2 linked regions of the Kluyveromyces lactis genome follow. The protein of the gene in region 1 purifies or fractionates together with the protein of each later gene. This does not show direct contact. Links are inferred from orthologs where the notes say so. Each region holds a gene or a part of one and is shown on either strand. Other genes may lie near its edges.

Region 1 (4,273 bases):
CCAGTAATACCAGAATAAAGCATGTCCTTACCGGAATAGTTGAAACCATTATCGACTAAAATCTTTGACATGTCTTCTAACTTAGATCCACCGAAACAGGTACCGTATTCAAGGGTACCATTCAAGACACCAGCTTTACCTGATATCAACTCAATCATTTTTCCAACGGTCATACGAGATGGGAAACCATGTGGGTTCATGATAATATCTGGTACTACACCTTGATCGTTGAAAGGAAGATCTTCTTGTTTTACGATGATACCACAGACACCCTTTTGACCATGTCTCGATGAGAATTTATCACCCAATTCAGGTCTTCTGTTTTGTCTCAATAGAACTTTGATCAAAGCCTGGTCATTATCAGAAACTGACATCATAACTTGATCAATATGAGAAGGTTCTGGAGCTCTATATACCACTGGAGTCTCCTTGTACTGAGCTTGTGTTTGAGTTAGAATGCTATCCGACGCATTAGTTGGAACAGATTTATTGACATAAATTTGTCCACTTTCAACCTTCATTCCAACTTCACCTAGCCCATCAGGGCCTAATGCTTGGTGTTGCCATATAGGCTCACCATTTTCATCAACTCTCATACCACCAATAATATCCTGAGTATGATTTGGATATCTCTTCAACACGGTGGTGTTCTTACGACGAGTTTCACAACGTCCAAAACCTCTGTCAATGGACGCTTTATTTAAAACTAACGCATCCTCGATATCATAACCGGAGTAGGACATAACTGCCACCGTAGCATTTTGACCTGCCGGAAGTTTATCGTAATCGATCAATTCAATCGTTTTGGTTTTCACCATAGGCTGTTGAGGGTATATCATTAGATACAATAAGGTGTCAATTCTTTTGAATTGATTGTATGCAATTGCACCAATAGCCTGCTTACCCATCGCACATTGATAAGTGTTACGTGGAGACTGATTATGGTGAGGATATGGAATCAAACCAGCAACTGCACCTAAGACAGTAAATGATTCAATTTCTAGATGCGTAATATTCTCAGATAGATCTTTTTCATATAATGCAATGAACGAGTCGTTTTCTTCATTAACGTCGAGATACTCGACTAAACCCAGTTTTAAGAAATCATCGAATTGTAATTTTCCAGCCAGAAGAGATCTTAAATGGTCTGCAGTAACAGAAGACTGCCCGTTCGAAACAATTATCAACGGCCTACAGATTCTTCCTCCATCAGTAGCAATATGAACTGCTTTTTGATGTGTATTGGTATATATAGAGATGAACTCTGACGCTCTACCAGTTCTTCTTAAACATCTGAATTGAGACACAAACTTTGTAGGAAATCTAGTTGTCCCTATGATTGTACCGTTTAAGTAGACACCATAATTTAAATGAATTGAAGCACTGTCAATTAAACTTATGTCTTCCACACCCAACAAGTAACAAATCCTCTTTATAGGCTCTTCTTCATCATCGGTGGTGATATGGGTCATTAATGCCAAATTTTTAACCAAACCACAGGCCTCACCTTCTGGAGTATCTGAGGTACATAACATACCAAATTGAGAAGGTTGTAGGGCTCTAGGACCTGAAACTTTTCTAGATTTCTCAAATTGAGAGGATATTCTTGTCATCATACCTAATGCTGAAATATAAGAAAGTCTGGATAAGACATGTGTAACACCTGCTCTTTCCATCTTGAAACGTTTCAAAGACCAGTTACCAGTTGAAATTGCACGATTCATACCTGTAGTAATGTTGTTGGAATGTACGTTAATGGTTAGTAAGGCATCATACATTTCAGCACGATTTGGTTTCTTTAAGACTTTATCGATGTTTGCCTTGAAATCATTATTGAACTTTTTGAATAAATCTTCAAATAACAATGACATCAATTGACCAGCCAATTCTAAACGCTTGTTACCAACATAATCTCTGTCATCAACCATCTTTGGGTTATCTATAGCCATTACGACTCTACGAGTCATCATTGCAATGTATAATGCTTTTTCTCTAAAGTCTAAAGCTTCCACTGTCAGATGAGCAATGACTGTCGTAGCGATGGCCTCGATACCTTCTTGCAAGATGGAAAGTTTCTGTCTTCTGACAGTTTTAACTTTAGTACCAATGAATTCTAAGGCTTGTTGTTGCGTGTATATTTTTAGTTCGGCAGCTTCTTCGAGATTCACCGCGAAGATATCTTGATAACTGCTATCATTACCACAAACTAACTGCATGATTTCTAAATCAGATACAACACCACAAGCCTTCAAAACAACTACAATTGGAACCTCTTCTGCGATAGAGTTATGTTTTAAGTATATTTTATCATTCTTGGTGACTACGTAAGTCTTAGATTTTCTTTCGTGGGTGGAAGATGTAACAGAAGCTTGTACGATGTTTTTCTTCTCATCTGCTTCCACAATGATACGATTCTTAGATAATTGTTCTTGAACTAAGATGACTTTTTCAGTACCATTAACAATGAAATATCCACCTGGATCTAAGGGACATTCATTTAATTTGGCCATATCATTTTCTGCTGCACCATCTAATATACATTTGTTTGATCTCAACATTATGGGCATTCTACCGATCTCCACATCTCTATGCAACACAATTGATCTTCCTCTGGTGTATTCAATATCAACAAAGATAGGAGTACTGTATGTCATGTCTCGTAATCTACATTCATGTGGTGGGGTCATAATAGCTTTGTTGCCGTTATGTTTGTATCCTACTCTAATGTCAATGTACTTCAAGTAAAACTCTGGATCGACATCAGATAATATAACCTCATTAGCTTTGATGATCTTCTTCAAATCAACATCCACAAAGTAATTAAAAGAGTCCAAATGCTGCTTTACTAACCCTTTCACCTTTAAAAAGGCAGGCAAAAGATTCCATTTATCTTCGGCAGTGTTGATCTCGTCAGTCAGCTTTTTACCTTTGAAGACGGGTTTCAAAAGAGCATCGAACGCTTCATCTTTTTCATAGCCATCAGGATTATGGGAGTCAGTGTGGTTCATTTTAGAGAATATTCAATCAGGATATTTGAAAGCTACCCTTTCCAAACTTAATTAGTGTTCCAAACAGTTAATCAAACAAAATATCTAGAAAAGAGGCAAAAAGACCAAACAAAGCTACTCTACTGAAAGTGAAAAAAGAAGGAGCCAACCAGTAAATTTCACTTAATCAAATCTTTGTTGAGGTCAGCAAATCAGTACAGTCACTAACTGCCAATAAATGCACTTCTCTTTGTTTCCATCAATATTGACAGAGCTCATCTACATTAATCATTGGCGTATTTCGATTATTTCAAATTCGAGATGAGCTTGATTTGATCTTTTTCATTTTCCAAAATTGATCTGACAGAGTGAAAAGAAATTTCTTCTGTCATCAACAAATTTTCAGTCACGTGCAAGATACATTTCTTCGTGTTACATGATATATATACACGTGACATATATTTTACTTTCAATATGCGAATGTCTGGATTTGACATGGTATCAACCTTAAGTACTATTGATTCAGATGAGCTTTTCCAAATCGGATATCATGGATGCATTGCATCGTTCGAATGCAGCAAATCGTATTAGGCTGAAATAACATTATCGATTGACGTGACCAAATTGTTGATCTCCTCACTTGGTTCTAATCTCTTGCTATTTCAAGAGGCCTTGAGCTGCATATTTTCAATACTATGAGTCTGAATCTTTTCAAGACCACCGTTAATGACTACCTAGAAGGTCTTCCAGAGCAAGTCCAATCAAGATTATATGAGTCTCCAGCGACATGTTTGGCAATTTATAGATTGCTTTCTCCCATGGCAAAATTCTTCATTATGTCGATGCTGTTTCAGGACCACGATGTCTCGCTTAGAGATTTAGATAAATGGGTCAAGCCAGATGCGAAATACCAGTTACAATACTCTATTAAATCGATGAAATCCTTGAATCTTATAATAGAAGGTGAGAGTAAACAACCTCTATTGATTCGTTTGAATCCAATTTTCAAGAAATCTTTCAAAAATGTATTAACTGGTGGTGAAATCAATAACTCTTTTGGTGATGTTGCGGATGATGATACCAATCCCGTATCTACAGCTACTTTGGACCAGTATAGTGCAGAAAAGTGGGAAACAATCTTGCATTACATGGTGGGAACACCGAATACAAACACTCCTGGTGGAAAGGTTCTAGACTTATTGCAGCATAGTGGTCTAATGGAAGAGGCAGAATATGGCGAACTCAAAATTACTAACCAAGGTTTCCAATTTCTCTTGCAAGATGTC
Region 2 (4,068 bases), about 2.2 Mb from region 1:
ATCACCTGAAATGAGACGAGTAGGAATCATTTTACAAATCTTTTCCAAGCGGGTTGGTAATGACGGGAGGTTTCTATTCAGTCCATAGGATATGGCTTACCTACCGCTAAATGGCTTTTTCATGTCATGCGGCTGATGGGATTTAACTGACACAGTTACATCATTACCTGATTGATGTAGTTGACACTTGAGTTGATATACCAATACAGCTCTCTGATATCAAACTGTTAGTATGCGTACCAGAGGGAGCAAGCAACTGTCCGCTAGGAAACGAACCAATGACAGTGATTTCGTTTTGTAAAGCTGTTCAGTTTTTGATATACAGGAATAATCACGTGATGTGACTGATTGTGGAGTTTTTCGATTTTCTGTATAAAATAAACTTCAGACCTGTCTTAAACACGCTGCGTTATTTTCTGTAGTTCGAGACAAGGTTTTTATTCCTCAGTTACAGAAGAAAATGTAGATAACCAAGAATCAGGAACGGGCTGCTGAGTGTCACGTTTTTTTTTTTTTTTTGGCTATTTCAATGTAACTGTGTAAAAATGTTCAAAATGGAACTTCTTTCCGCCCAAAAAATGTGTTAAGAAGGTCCGAGCACCTTTTCATTGAGAGGCACCAATTGTGGTAAACTTCTCTAAAAGTAATCCAGAACTATCAACTCATATCACGTGCAAAGTTTTTACAGAAATATCTACATACCAGATATTATGGATGCTGTTGAGATAGATGATGTTTCTTCAAAGCAAGCGTTTGTGCTTTGAAGCGGCTGGTCGTGACCGGGTTACCAAATTCATCAATCGGTTCTTTACCTAACTCTTCATTTAACTCAAGTTCCATGGTGTGCTCGGTGTTTGAGGATGATGAGGTGGATGCGACCGCGAATCTTTCAATATTTCGACGACGATGTTCCATATATTCTCGCTCAACTTCTGCGTATATGATTTGATCCTCAACGTCTTGTACTGGCTGTTCTCCAGCGCCCGTTGGATCCCTTTCTTTAATTTCGTTAATAATAGTGCTCTCGTTATTCTGTGATGATTCTGCACTTTGTGGCAGTTCAATGTCATATTCATAGCTTGCATTCTCCTTCAAGAACTGATTTAATTCAGGCTTCAAAGTTTCTACCATCTTGTTATAAGCCTCAAAGTCAGAAGTGTCTTGCAATACTGTGCCAGGATCTTCTACATCGTCATCGTATAATCCTAGGAGATATGCTCTTGCCATGTCATCAAGGTTGTCCAATTGTGCAAAGTCGATTCTTGGCTGGACATGAATTTCATTAGACTTTTGCGCAGGGAAATGAGGCTCAACTAGTTCTTGCTTCTCCTTCATGACTTCCGCAATTGACGAGTTGTTTTGTTCGCCCTCAGCACCGCTGTCATCTTTGTTCATTTCTTCAGTGGGAATTATTGATGGTGTCTTAGTTGGCAGCGATTTTGGTTTTTGTAAGGACTTCATCTTCTTATGAATAAAGTTTGGCGAACCAGTTTTAATCGGAGTATTTTCAACTGAAATCGATGATGTGTCGTCACGCTCAACTATGTCGGTTACCACAGCCTCTACAATTGGTTCCTTTTCAAACATTTCAACATCATTAGTATTAAACTCGCGTTTTTCCGTGGCGGCTTTTTCCTTTTTAAACCTTGAGATACGCTTCTTTCGAGGTGCGGCGAGTGCTGGCTCTTCAGATTCCTTCAAGCCGTTGATGCTACCAGGTTGGTACTTTTCATGCAATACGTCGGCTTCCTTGGCTCCGATCATCTGCGCGAACAAATCGGGGTCAAATTCAACATCTTCTCCGTCAGATGCGATGATTTCTGACTCCATATAGCTGTTTCTAGGGAAATTAAATGTGTTAGATTTGGTTTCCTGTTTCACATTTTCCACTTCAAAGACGTCTAGCTTTGGCGCAAAGTTGACACTTTTCTTCTTCGAACCGCCTTTCTTAAGTATGGACTTAGCTTCTTGCTCAGGGGAATGATTACGATATTCTGTATGTACGAGATCATGTTTTTTGTTGGCCCTCAAAGCCTGTATTTGTTCCATAAAGGAATGCTGAACTCTTTCAGGAACTATGGAGACGGAATAATCTTCATCTTCCTCATTATCGTCGCTTTCTTCATCATACCCATCAAAATCGTATTCTACGTCATTTACGTCGATTTCGCCATCTTCATAATTATCCAATTTATCTAACTGATCTACCAAATCATCGAATGTGTACATGTTTTCCTTTGCTATTTGCATGGTACTCTTGTCTGCTTCCATGATTTCTCCTGTCTTATTGCCAGTTTCCGAAGTTCCTGAAGCGGAAGAGCGATCATCATTCTGAATATTGAAGGCAGTCTCTGGTGAAAGACAATTTTGACGTTCCTGACTCAGTGACAATTGTTGTTCATCACTATGGACTTCATTACCTTTGCCCGAATGCACCTTATTGGCGGGCGTCATTGAAGCATGTATCACATTTCCGTCTTCGTCTAATTCTTCTCTGATCTCAAAGAAACCTTCCTGGTCATCATCATTGTTAGAAACATTCGTATCTCCCAAAGATTTTGCACCGTCTCGAAGTAACTCCATGTTTCGCAATGTGCCATGTGCCTCTTTCAGTTTCTCATCAAATTGTGAAATGGCTTCGGCAATTAAGTTCAATCGAACCTTTATAAAAACCAGGCATTCTTCCCTAGATTTCTCCAAATAGTAATCGTAACCTATATTTTGGAAAAACTTACCATTCTGAAATACTACCTCACCATACTGCCATTCTTCTTCCGAATCTTCGCTCGTGTCAGCATCTCTTATCCTATCGAATATCTGTTCATACAACGGCTGCTGTTCCTTTAAGAAGGTTCTTTTGTTTACCAAATTATCTATGGTACCTTTGACAGTATCCATTAACTCGGCAAAAGAAGCCCCACCTTCTGCTGTTTCCATTGCGTTTCACGACTAAGACTGATTTTCTCAGCCTCTTTACCTGCCTCAGATAACTCACTCTTTCAACAAGCGATGAGATGACTTCATTACGGATGTCAAGTTACTGATTTCCGTTTTTTTTTCTTTTTGGTAGAAGCTCATACAATTTTTGGCATCACCATTTACCTTGACCCAATGGAAGTCACGTGAACAGAAATTCCTATTGTCTACCAAGGTGGTTATGGGAGACGTTCATATTTCCGTAGAAGACGTAAAAAATTTTTTTTTCTTTCCATAAGTTCGGATTTCAATATAGAAAAAACCAATACCCCCATTCACCGGACAAACTGTTGCGTTCCACCCAAACAACCAACATAAAAAGGAAAACCACGCGCTTCAGAACAGTCCGGTGGCTCGTTCAAACCTACTGAGAATCAACCATCAGTAGTGATACTTAAGGACTTTCATCAGTTCTGCAAAATCCGTACCAATAGCTGCTATCTTCAGTCCTATTTTAGATTTGGTCTCCTTGTTTTCTGCCTCCTTCACCGCCACCCGATTGCTTGCCAGTGAAGTTTTTCGCAAAATTTGGCCCCGAAAACAGGAAGAAAATAAATTTGGGCCCCCGTAAAAGAACCAATTTTTTAGAGGGATAATTGTAGTTACCCTTCCTTTCATATTTCTCGCTATTGAAATCTGGAATTCAAAGATCCTTCTTTGGCTTCAGCCGCATAGCTATCAGGGTAACTACACACGGGCATTGACACATTGCAGTATGCCAGCTCCTGCAGTGGATTCATCGAGGTTCAGGCACAGAAAGATCAGCGTGAAGCAACGACTTCGGATCTATAAGAGCCATGAAATTAAGGATTTGGAACAAGAAGATGTTTCGGCCATCAGTTCCCAGCATCAACAGCGAGAGCTGATGGAGATTGAAACTGGTGTGGAGAAGAATGAAGAAAAGGAAGAGCATTTATACAAAATTCTTCAATCCAATCAGCTTCGAGAGAACAAGAAGGATCTATTTATTCCAACACCAGACGCCTCGAAAACTTGGGACGAGTTTGACAGATTTTACCAAGGTGAATTCAAATGTCCTACGAGTTATATCCAGTTTTCTGCACAATTAGAAGATTGCTGTGGTACTTTGTA

The links.
Region 2: the proteins of RET1 (region 1) and BUD27 purify together in Saccharomyces cerevisiae (affinity purification with mass spectrometry; 3 studies listed by BioGRID). This does not show direct contact. The link is inferred for Kluyveromyces lactis from reciprocal best matches to the Saccharomyces cerevisiae genes RET1 and BUD27.

What each region holds. Positions count from the first base shown.
Region 1 is NC_006042.1:97,066-101,338, reverse strand, and holds the start of RET1 (DNA-directed RNA polymerase III core subunit RET1), read right to left. Parts: upstream 3,009-4,273; coding exon 1-3,008. Other genes in the region: TFIIH/NER complex subunit TFB2, read left to right, coding at 3,683-4,273. UniProt on the Saccharomyces cerevisiae protein: DNA-dependent RNA polymerase catalyzes the transcription of DNA into RNA using the four ribonucleoside triphosphates as substrates. Second largest core component of RNA polymerase III which synthesizes small RNAs, such as 5S rRNA and tRNAs.
Region 2 is NC_006042.1:2,340,255-2,344,322, reverse strand, and holds BUD27 (prefoldin-like protein), read right to left. Parts: upstream 2,938-4,068; coding exon 709-2,937; downstream 1-708. Other genes in the region: EPL1 (Epl1p), read left to right, coding at 3,692-4,068. UniProt on the Saccharomyces cerevisiae protein: Involved in gene expression controlled by TOR kinase and nutrient signaling. May also be involved in positioning the proximal bud pole signal.